3 linked regions of the Canis lupus familiaris genome follow. The protein of the gene in region 2 interacts with the protein of the main gene of each other region in a pairwise test. Links are inferred from orthologs where the notes say so. Each region holds a gene or a part of one and is shown on either strand. Other genes may lie near its edges.

Region 1 (3,744 bases), on a different chromosome or scaffold from region 2:
AAGGTTATATAAAATAGTGAAATGATCCAAGTAGAAGGATTATTTCACTTTCCTTTAATCTCAGCAAAGAAAAACAAGAGCCTAAGTAAAATAATAAAAAGAAACTTATATTGTGCATTGCATCACAGATATATTATAGAATGGTGGAGAATTGTAGAACATATAAGTATATGTAGAACATAAAAGTATATGCCCTAAGAGAGGAATTATTAATTTTCAGGTTTATGGAAATTAGGCTCACGTTTGCCACATCTTTTGATTTAGAAGAAAAGCTGGATGTCTAGAATCTTAAGTATAATTTCTCTATTTCTAAATTGTTAATGATCACTTACTAAATTATATAAGCAAAAATTATGTAGGCAAAAGATAAAAAGATGTCTCATCCTGACTGTATCTTGGGATGCCAAGTTAGTGTGTCTGTCCTACACTATGCTGTCTTTAAACCCTATACCGTAGCATTAGCTGAGCACCGGCTATAAAGCCATCAGGTTGCTCAGCTTAGGAGTAGGAGGAAATGCTGTGCCTGGTTGCTTATGGTTAACATTTATTCTGAGTAGATGTTGGATATTTTGAGTATCATTCTTGGCTGGATTCTTTTACATAAAATAATTGCCTTAACCCTCACAACAACTCTGGAAAGAAGGCTTAATTATCTTTATTTTCAGTTGAGTAAATTAATACTCCTGTTGGTTTTAAAGGTCACTCAGCTGTAAGTAGCCAACCTAGAATGTTAACTTCAGCTCTGACCATGTTCTCTTCGTTCTGTAGAGATGCCTCTATCTTTGAGGTGACTTTAATTGCTTCAAGTTGGGGAACTTTTCCTCTTTTATATTTATCTGATGAAAATCTGAGATAAGGAGGAAGTCAGGGGCCTGGAATCATCTTTCAGGACAAAAGATAGCTTTGCCACCCCTTATCATCCCCACCACTAGATCTCCTAGGGATGGGGGAGAGACTTATAGGGGAAGAAGGAGGAAGAAAACAAGAATCTGCTCCTTCAGAGTCAAGAAGCTTTGACATTGAAGTGAGATACTCCCACATTCTGTAGGTGACTGCAAGGTCAGGCATACAGGGAGGGGACTGCTGCTGGAATGCTAACCTGGGTGATGAGCCAGGCAGATGCCAATAAGCTGTCTCATGGATTAAGCCAGGCCCAGAGCTCTTTATATAAAGACAGCCCTCTGCCCAGATCCTTCAGCCTGAATGTCTGCTTGCTGTGAGGAGGGTGAGTCTAGGGGTTGGGTCCCGGGATTGGGCTAGAGATGCATCTCAGGGGATGCCCAGATTCACAAGGTAAGGCATGGTGGGAGGTGGGGGAGCTTCAAGCACCTTCCAGGAAGTGCTTGAAGGAAGAGTGATACATAAACCTGAGGAGAAATGTCTGGTAGACTTTTAGGAGATATAATAAGAATATTTGTGGAGTTTGTGCAAAGAACTGAGGGCCTGAAGTCAGTGTATTTGCCTTTGATAATAGTGGTCTCCTCCTCAAGTAGCATTTTCCCACATCAGGATCTCTTTTCCTGGAAAAGATGCATTTACACCTTATGAGCAGAGTTGTGTGTCAGGGGGTTACTTTCCCTAAGGGCATGTGTTTGTAGATATTCTCTATAAATGGAGAATGGAAGGCTTTGCTTTTCATTAGAAGCATTTTCAGTATTTCTGGAGCCTATTGAGAAGTGTTTTGTTGGGTGAATTAATTGTTAAATCAGCCACCCTGCTATGCCAGTCACAGGGCTGCCTGTATACAAACAGATGAATTTAGGGAGGGCAGAGGAATGGAGATTGCTTCTGTTTCTCCCTGGATAAGTGTCATGTTGGGGTATGCTTGTATCCCCCAAATCACGTTTGTATGCTTCTGCTGTGCAGGGTTTTATGTGTGGCTGAACGTCAGTCAGTCTTGTGATTTAGGAATCTTGCACTTTCTGGGTTACCCCATCTAGGCACTCATTCCTTGCCTTTACGAGGAGCTAAGGAGAAAACATTTCTGAAGTAGCAGGTTGTCCCATGTCAGATAATTTAGAACAGCAACCTGCCTGGGCAGATTGCCATGTTGGTTCTGAGCCTTTCCAAGGCTGGCATGTTTTGTCTGTGTGTGTTTTGCATATGTCTATGAGGGTTGTTTAAAGAAATTCACCTAAAAAGATTGAATGTGGAGAAACAAACATTTATATTGGGTTTGAGCTGTGCAATAATGGACTGGATCCTTTACTTTTCAGTGGGTGCTTCGGGCACAGATGGAACCTGAACACTTACTCCCACCTGCTCGTTTTTACATGTTTGCACTTGTATGTGTCACCAGTGTATGTATGTGAGGATATCCAAGCTCCTGTGGGTGTGGAGACCCCACTTTGGGCTACAGCCTCCGAAGCAGTGTTATCTCTACCTCCTGTAGAGTGCTCTCCTGCCACTTAGGACAAGGAATCCTAAGGTCTTCAACACACTCTGTGTTAGACACTCTGTGCTGAATGAAGCCCGGGACTGACGCAGGGGGGTGCAGTTGCACTCTGTGCCCACCCTCCAAGGGGAGACTCTGGATGCCTACAACTGTGGCTGTGCCTTTGAAGCTCCCTTAGATCAGGACAGGTCTCAGTGGCAGTGGTGACTAATAATGGATCCCTCTAACTCAGTAAGTGTTTTTGGGTAAAGGTTGATAGTTGGGGAGGAAAGTATAGGGAAGAAGCAGTGTCTTTCCCTTGGTCCTAGATCCTTCTCCCCCAACAACTCATCCTCCTAACACTGATCTTTCTACTGTCAGGTCTCACTCACCTGCCTTCATCAGAACCATGTGTGACCAGCAGCAGATTCAATGTTGCCTGCCGCTTCCCCAGTGCTGTGTGAAGGGTTCCTCTTTCTACTCCTCCAAGTCGCCCAGTGCCAACAGCCAGGTGGTAGTCCAAGCCCCTCGTGAGATGCAAATTATAGAGTGTCCTGCACCATGCCCAGTTCAAGTTTCCCAGGTGAAGTGCCAGGCTTCGAGCCAGTCTAAGACCACCCAGGTGAAGTGCCAGGCCCCATGCCCATCTAAGACCGCCCAGGTGAAGTGCCAGGCTCCATGCCCATCTAAGACCACCCAGGTGAAGTGCCAGGCTCCATGCCAGTCTCAAATTTCCTCTGTTCAAAGCCAGGCCCTATGCCAGCCTGAGGTTTCCTATGTGCAGTGTGAAGGTCCATGCCCTGTTCAGACGTGTTATGTAGAATGTGCTCCAGTTTGCTATACAGAAACTTGTTTTGTGGAATACCCAGTCCAGAACTTTGTACCCTGTCCAGCTCCTCAGCCTGTCCAGACTTATGTGGCTTGTCCCTCAGTTTCCCAAACTCAGGGGAAATTCTCCACCCAGCGTCAGTATCAAGGTTCTTATGGCAGATACGCCCTGCAGGGTCAGTCCCCAGCTTCCTACAACAATTGCACCCCCCAGTTCCAATCCAGGACCGCCTACAGCAACTGCGCCCCCCAGCGTCAGTCCCGGGCTTCATTCAGCACTTGTGCACCCCAGTGCCAGGCCCGAGGCTCTTATGGGAGCTTCTCCTCTCAGCGCAGCCGCTCCCAGAGCACCAGCAGGTGCCTCCAGCCTGGCCCGCTGCAGCCTCTCTACCGCAGCTGTTCCCCACCACGAAGGTCTGAGCCCTTCCACAGCCGCTGCCTGCCATCTGCGTGTTCTTCGGGCTCCTATAACTACTGCACCCCACCACGCCGCTCTGAGCCCATCTATAGCAGTGGCTGCCCGCGGGGTCCTTCCTCAGGCT
Region 2 (3,744 bases):
CAGCTCCAACTCCAGCCCCGGCTCCAGCTCCAGCCCCTGCTCCAGCCCCAGCTCCAGCTCCAGATTTAGCTCCAGCTCCAGCAGCCCCAGCTCCAGCCCCTGCTCCAGCCCCTGCTCCAGCTCCAGCTCCAGCCCCAGCACCAGCCCCAGCACCAGCCCCGGCTCCGGCGCCCCCTCCAAGCGCCGAGGGCTGCTGGGCCGCCGGGGGTCCCAGGGGTCCCGGGGTCGCGGCCTGGGCCCCGGGGCGGCCCGGGGCGTCCTCGTCTGCCTGGGGCGCGGGGACCCGGGGCCCTCGGAACCGTGTGCGCGGCCTTCCGGGCTCGGCCGCCGTGTCCCGCGCTCCGCCGGGCGGCCTTCCCGTCCCCGCGTCCCTCCGCGGCCCGAGCCCCGGGAGAAGGCGGGGAGCCGGGAGGGAGCGGGCGGGGGGAGGGGCGGGGAGCGGGGGAACGTGGGGATTGGAGCCCGACGGAGGGAGGGGAGGGCGGCGCGAGGGCGGCGCGGGGCGCGGGCCGGGCGGGAGCGGGCGAGCGCGGCGTCGGCGGGGCGCGGGCCGGGCGGGATGGGCTGGCCCGGGGGCTCCCCCTGCTGCTGCCCCGCCCCCCCGGCGCGCCCCCGCCCCCCCGGGCGCCCCCCGCAGGTGAGTGGCCGCGCCGCGCGGGCGGGAGGGCGGCGGCCCGGGCGTCACGGAGGCCGGGCGGGGCCGGGGCCCTCGGGAGGCGGGGACGGGGGGATGGGGACGGGGATGGGGACGGGGACGGGGATGGGGACGGGGGGCCATGGGCCGGGGATGGGGACATGGGGACGGGGATGGGGACGGGGATGAGGACGGGGATGGGGACGGGGACCGAGGGCCGCGGGCAGCCGGGAAGGGGAGCAGGGGGCGGGGCGCGGCCCGCGCTCACACGGCGGTCCCCCGTCCCCCTGCCCCCCGTCCCCCGTCCCCCTGCCCCCCCCGTTCCCCGTCCCCCTGCCCCCGCGTCCTCCGTCCCCCCGTCCCGCGTCCCGGCCCCGCGGCCCACCCGGGCCCCCGCGCGCCGCAGCCGCCTCCCCGCCCTCTCCCTCCCCGGGCCTCACCCCTCCTCCGCGGCGGGCTCGCGGCCTCTCCTCCAACCACAGCTATTTCCAGGAAGGGGGAGTGTGGGTGGAGGGGTTTCTCCAAACAAACCCGAGGCTTGGGAGTGAGAGGGGGGCCGGGCCGGGGAGAGACTGGCCGGCTCCGGAATGTTCCAGGCAGCAGGAGGGTGAGGGTCCCAGGGGTCTCTGCCCTGAGCGCCCTCCCCCTCCACCCTGGCTCTCCCATCCCCATCGCCCCGCCAGTGGGGAGGGACCCAAGCCGCTTCCCCGCCACCGATCCAGGGGTTAGGGAGCCCCCCAGAGGGAACCACCAGGTGAGGGGACTTCTCAGGCCCTCTGGGGGCGGCAGGTGTAGGGAGAAGGGGGTTCCTAATCAGGGGCCCCCCCAACCTAGCCACCACCACAGTGCTCCTCCTCCCTGCAGCTCCACTGTGACCCAGACCAGGCCGGGCCCAGTTGCCCACACTGGCCGGGGCCCTGGAATGTCCCGGGGCCCAGCCGGGGTTGGTGGGATGGGAGTGGGTTTGCACAGCCAGTGCCCCTCTCCAGTTACACGCTAGGGACCCAAGCCTGGCCACAGAGCTACCTCCGGGCCAAGGTACTCTGGGGACAGACTTCCTGACCTGGAAGGGGAATTAGAGCTTCAAAGGCGAAGCCTCAGCCCAGACCCCTGCCAGGCAGGCCCTAAATAGTGTCCTGAGTGGACTCTGAAGGGGGCTCGTCCCAGAGGAGGCAGGATTAAACCAGCCCTCGGGCACGAAGGCAGGAGAAGCCTAAGGACCTGGTGGGAGAAGCCCGAGCTCTGGTACATTCAGTAAATTCCATGCAAATGAGGGAGGCACATTGGCACATTCTTCCAAGTGACAGCTCCAGCCAGCCTAAGGGCTGCCGGCCAAGGCTTAGGCCTGAGGACCCCGTGGCCCTTAACCCCATATATTTTTGGCAGATCACTCCCCCCACACACACCCACTTCCAAGGCCCCAATCCACCTCCTTCCCTGACTCCCGGGACAGGAAGTTGGCCCTGTTCCCAGGAGGGAGGCAGGAGGCCCACGGAGGGGGTTGGAGCATGTGTTGGGAGGGGGCCTCCTGTCCAGTCCTTAGGCCTGGGACAGCTGCTGAGCAAGGAGAGCAGAGCTAGGAGGGCCATGAAGGTAGTACTCAGGCTGGGGCGGGGGGGAGGGGGCAGGGCCCAGCCCTAGGGCCTGGGTGGGGGGCTGACACAGCAGCCTGGGAAGAGGGGCTGAGGGGCCGGGAGGTCTGGCCGGAAGAGGCCAAGGAATGGGGGCGCGGGGCAGGGTGTGGGGAGGACATGGGGACTGTCAGGAACAGAGCAGCAGGGTGCTCTCAGGAGAAGGCCTTGGTCTGGAGCTGAAGGCTCATCTTGGGGCGAATTAGGCCTTCCAGTGGGGGAGGGGGAGGGGGAGGAGGCCTACTTCCCAACCAGGGGAACTGAGGCAGGAAGCTGCCCCTCAGGAGGACTCCCGATGCTGGGCTGGCTGGGGCAGTGTTCCCAGCTCCCCCTTCCTCCCCACCAGAGGTCCCCTGAGAGCCCGACAGTCCAGGCTGGGAGGCTGGCCTGACGGGGACACAGCGTTCCCCACTGGCCCTTGAGCCCTGCCCTGAGACCTGAATCCTCACCCTGCCCCCACGCGCCCCACGGAAGGTGGGGGCTGGATCTCAGGATCCTTGTAGATCCCTGGACAGGGTGGATCCCTGCAAGGAGCAGCTCCAGAGCAAGGGGACCGGGGGCCAAAGATCCAGGACAGACACTCCCAGCAGGGTAGATCCTGGGAATCTGATCTCCTGGCCTCCCCCACATCCTCCCCCCCCCACTTCCTGGAGCAGCGACCTGCCCCTTTCCCGCCTGCACTCCCCTCCACTTCCAGGGCCGGGCTTCTCCTCACACCAGCCAGACAGCCTGCCCTCCACCCAGGGGAAGCAGCTGCCTCCGCCAGGCCGCTTCCAGGAAGCCCCGGGCCGGGCCCCAGCATTGTTCGGGCCCGCGGTCGGCGCCCCAGCCCGCCGGACACCATGAAGTCCAGCGGCCCCGTGGAGAGGCTGCTCAGAGCCCTGGGGAGGAGGGACAGCAGCCGGGCCAGCAGCAGGGTAGGAGTGCCCGCTGGCGGGGAGGAGGTGTGGGCAGCGGGACGGGACCAGGACTGGGCCAGACCCTGCCCGCGCCCTCCCGGCTCTGCCGCTCTGGGGCTCTGCCTCTGGAGCGGCGGGGCTGTGCGCGAGCAGCACAGTCTGGATCAGAGCAGACCCCGCGTCCACCCCGCTCCACCCCGCGTCCACCCCGGCTCCGCCGACCTCCCGGCCCGAATTCAGGCCGGCCTGGGGATCCCCGCCCCCTAGAGCTGCACTGGGTATACTTCACTGTGGGACCTCTCCAGGCACTATCCTGGAGCCCCAGAGCAGGATATCAAGCCCCTTCCCTGAACCTAAGAAGTTTGGGGGAAATGGGGTGGAAGTGGCAAAGGGAGGGGGCGCGGCGGCCAGGTCTGGAACGTGCTTTAGATTCTGGGGCTTTGCCTGCCCTTGACATCATCCGTGCATGCTGTTAATGCCAAGATGCACCCCACTCTCCTGACAGGTCCAGCAAGGCTGGTCCGGAGAGTTCAGGTGGTGGTTAATTCAGCTGCTTCAGGACAGCCAAGAGAGCAGAAGT
Region 3 (3,744 bases), on a different chromosome or scaffold from region 2:
AAGGGATCTGTATAGGTTTGTTATAGCCGGCGTCTCCCTTTCTTTACAGGCTTTCTCGTTTGTCCAGTTCTAGGGGTGGTGCTACCAATAATCGGGCACCAATAGCCTGAGGATTTTTTTTTTTTTTTCAAAAGTCAATTCATTCAACAAATATTTGAGCATCAGGTCAGGTCCAGACCTTGTGCTAGGCCCAGAAGCGAGCAAGACAGACAAGATCCCTGATCTCTTAAAATTTCATCGCGGGGAGGGGAGGCAGGGTGGAGAAACAGGCCACCACGACCGGCCGAAGCAGGTCAGCCAGGGGGCGGGCATGCGAGGAGATTAGCTCGAGAAGCTGCAGAACTGGAGCCGGACGAGATCTTCGGGCCACACCCGGGGGAGTCCGCATTTCATCAGTTAAACGCTAATGATGGCCAGATTGCACCAAAAGGTGGACTTCCTCGGGCCACTCAATCCTGTCGCTCCGACCTTCGCAACCCCTTTTTGCGGCTGTCGAGTTTCCCGGCCACTCTGGGTCCCTGAGCCTATCAGGCCACCTCGGCTTTGGTCACGTCAGCCCCCGCGGTCGCGTCCTTCCAGAGCCACCTCGACCCACCGAGGCGTGTCCGCCCGCGGGTCTCCCTCAGCGCGGGTCCCCCGGGGCCCCTGGGCCAGCCAGGTCACCTCAGTGCCACGCCTCCACGGCCAGAGGTTCTGCATGCACGTTCTGCTTTGTTCGCGGAGCAGGTTTTCGAAACGCCGCTCCCTCTCGACTCCAGCTGTTTTCCAGCCGGAGCTGGGGGGGAGCCCGCAGCGGCAGCGCCCCCGGCGGCGCACCGCAGCCCAGGAAGGGAGTGGCCGTTACCGCCACCTCCTCCTCCGCCGCCTCTACCTCCTCGCCTCCCCCGCTTCCCCGGCCGCCTCCGCCTCCTCCCGGAACGCGGGAGCGGCGGAGCGCGGCGCACGCCCCGACCGTCACGACCGCGCTCCTGATTGGCCGCGCCGCGCGACGTCACGGGGCGGGCCTGGGCGGCAGCTGAGAGCCAGAGCTCGCGCGTGCGCAGACCGAGCGCGCTGAGCGGAGGGGGAGGTGGCCGGCCGCTTGTCCCGCGTCCGCCATTTTGTTGCTGTGGCTCTTGGGAACGGGCTGGGCGAAACCGCCCCGGAGGCGCGACGCTCCTGGGAGTCCGGTGCTTCGCGTGGCGGCGGGTATCAGTGCAGAGCCGTGGGGGGCGCGGAGTCGCGCGTTCCGGGCCAGGAGTGGCTGGAGGCACCCCCGGTACGCCGGGCAGCCCCAGAACCCCGGGGCGGCCTCCGCTGCGGCTCAGCTTCGCCCGCCCCGACCTCGGGCTGTGCCCTGCATTCCCCGGGCCGGCTCCGTCCGTGAGGCGGCCCCGGAGCAGGCGGGCGGCGGCAGAGGATGCTGCGGGCCCGGAGCCGAGACGAAGGTGCTGGCTCGGCCCTCTAAGCGCGCCTCGAGGTGTGCCAAGAGGCCCTTCCTTGGCCGCAGAGCCGTCTGTCGGGCGAAGGCGTCCAGAACAGCCGAGAGCAGCCGCCGCCCCGAGTCGCCGCAGAGCCCCGGCCAGACACCATGTCCTCCGCCAGGTTCGACTCCTCAGACCGCTCCGCCTGGTACATGGGGCCGGTGTCTCGCCAGGAGGCGCAGACCCGGCTGCAGGGCCAGCGCCACGGAATGTTCCTAGTTCGCGATTCCTCCACCTGCCCTGGGGATTATGTGCTGTCGGTGTCCGAGAACTCGCGGGTCTCCCACTACATCATCAACTCGCTGCCCAACCGCCGTTTTAAGATCGGGGACCAGGAGTTTGACCACTTGCCGGCCCTGCTGGAGTTCTACAAGATCCACTACCTGGACACCACCACCCTAATCGAGCCCGCGCCCAGGTACGCGAGCGCCCGCACTCCCCGCGCGCACAGCCCCCCTCGGACCGCGGCGGAGGGTCGAGAACAGCAGGGGCTGGTTCGCGGGGGATCGACCGCCGGGTAGGGGGTGGGGGGAGCGGGATTGAACTCCTTTCACCCCATTCTGAACCAAATTGTTTTCCAGAAGGCATTCTGATCGGAAGGCTAGTGCCAGGGTCTGGGTTGTTGGATGAGGGGATGGGTTTTAAACCTGTGTAACGGCGGTTGCCTGGTTAAAATGCCCGCTTTGTGCCGTTCGTCACATTATCTATTGGGTTATCCTAATCGAGACGTTTTTGTTGTTTTTAAGCCTTTTTTGTTTTGTTTTGTTTTTTTTTTTGAGAATCTCAGGGCAGCTGTGGCGTTCTCCCTCCGTAAAAATGCACGTACACACAACTTTGCACACCGTTCAAGGTTCTTGGGCTCCCTGCTCCAGTTTAAGAACTCTTGGACTGCAGCCTTTGGAATAATCGACAAATGAAAATGCTTGAGCGTTTAGGAACAAAACCTTTCACAGTGAAGTGGCGGAACTATGTAGGATACCTTGGTGCTAAATTTGAATTACCTAGACACCTTTTGTTTTATAACTAACACATTTTATTTTATTTTATTAAAGATTTTATTTACTTATTCATGAGAGACACAGAAAGAGAGAGGCAGAGACACAGGCAGAGGGAGAAGCAGGCTCCATGCAAGGAGCCTAATGTGGGACTCAAACCCGGGAACCCGGGATCACACCCTCAGCCAAAGGCAGGCGCTCAAGCGCTGAGCCACTCAGGCATCCCAACTAACAGAAATTTTAAGAAGATGATGCATTGGCTTTAGCGAGGACGCATTTTTTTTTTTTAATTTTTATTTATTTATGATAGTCACAGAGAGAGAGAGAGGCAGAGACATAGGCAGAGGTAGAAGCAGGCTCCATGCAGCGGGAGCCCGACGTGGGATTCGATCCCGGGTCTCCAGGATCACGCCCTGGGCCAAAGGCAGGTGCCAAACCGCTGCGCCACCCAGGGATCCCCGAGGACGCATTTTTTGAGTTTTTATTTTATAGTTTATCCCCAGGGTGGACCATTAATAGGCCAGAAATGTATTTGATTATATTCTAAAGAAGAATGAAGCTAGGATGTAAATTACTAAGGAAATTTTTGAGCGATACTTTAATTCTGTCCTAGTTTAATTTTAGGTATACCTTTTGTACATTTGTAAGTTTAATAATTTAAAGCAAGCAGCATTCTCTTTTCTAAGTAAATGCATTATTTTATTTGATTACTTGCTTTAATTTGTCTTTAGTATTTTTTCACGTTTCTTTTATTTAAATTATGTCAAATTTGAACTGAAGAAATTGCTTGGAATTTTTTTTTAAATAAAAAGTATTTTGCTGTCCATTTTGGTTCTTGAACTTATGTTTAAAAGGAATAGGCTGCCGGGATCCCTGGGTGGCGCAGCGGTTTGGCGCCTGCCTTTGGCCCAGGGCGCGATCCTGGAGACCCGGGATCGAATCCCACATCGGGCTCCTGGTGCGTGGAGCCTGCTTCTCCCTCTGCCTGTGTCTCTGCCTCTCTCTCTTTCTCTCTGTGTGACTATCATAAATAAATAAAAATTTAAAAAAAAAATTTTTTTTTAAAAAAGGAATAGGCTGCCGATATAGATTTTTTTTTTTTTTTTGGAATGACCTGTTTCTGATTTTATAGATTTGCTGATAAGATGTTGCACTGAGCTTTAACCATTAAAAGCTATAATAATTAAGGAGCACCCACTGGATGCCTAAGTGTTGCTTCTGTGGAGTAAGAGAGAAGAAACAAAGCCATGACAGTATAATGACTATAAGATTAACTGCTGAACTAA

Evidence for each region.
Region 1: the proteins of TNS2 (region 2) and keratinocyte proline-rich protein interact in binary tests that used the Homo sapiens proteins (3 or more experiments, as listed by UniProt). The two-hybrid records come from large-scale screens. The link is inferred for Canis lupus familiaris from reciprocal best matches to the Homo sapiens genes TNS2 and KPRP.
Region 3: the proteins of TNS2 (region 2) and CRKL interact in a two-hybrid assay, tested with the Homo sapiens proteins (2 studies listed by BioGRID and IntAct). The link is inferred for Canis lupus familiaris from reciprocal best matches to the Homo sapiens genes TNS2 and CRKL.

The regions. Positions count from the first base shown.
Region 1 is NC_049238.1:62,243,223-62,246,966, forward strand, and holds the start of keratinocyte proline-rich protein, read left to right. Parts: upstream 1-1,268; 5' UTR 1,269-1,276; coding exon 1,277-1,293; intron 1,294-2,755; coding exon 2,756-3,744.
Region 2 is NC_049248.1:44,535,824-44,539,567, forward strand, and holds the start of TNS2 (tensin-2), read left to right. Parts: upstream 1-1,144; 5' UTR 1,145-1,897; coding exon 1,898-2,227; intron 2,228-2,310; exon of another isoform or gene 2,311-3,107; coding exon of another isoform or gene 3,108-3,182; intron 3,183-3,744. UniProt on the Homo sapiens protein: Tyrosine-protein phosphatase which regulates cell motility, proliferation and muscle-response to insulin. Phosphatase activity is mediated by binding to phosphatidylinositol-3,4,5-triphosphate (PtdIns(3,4,5)P3) via the SH2 domain.
Region 3 is NC_049247.1:30,747,128-30,750,871, reverse strand, and holds the start of CRKL (crk-like protein), read left to right. Parts: upstream 1-1,037; 5' UTR 1,038-1,570; coding exon 1,571-1,881; intron 1,882-3,744. UniProt on the Homo sapiens protein: May mediate the transduction of intracellular signals.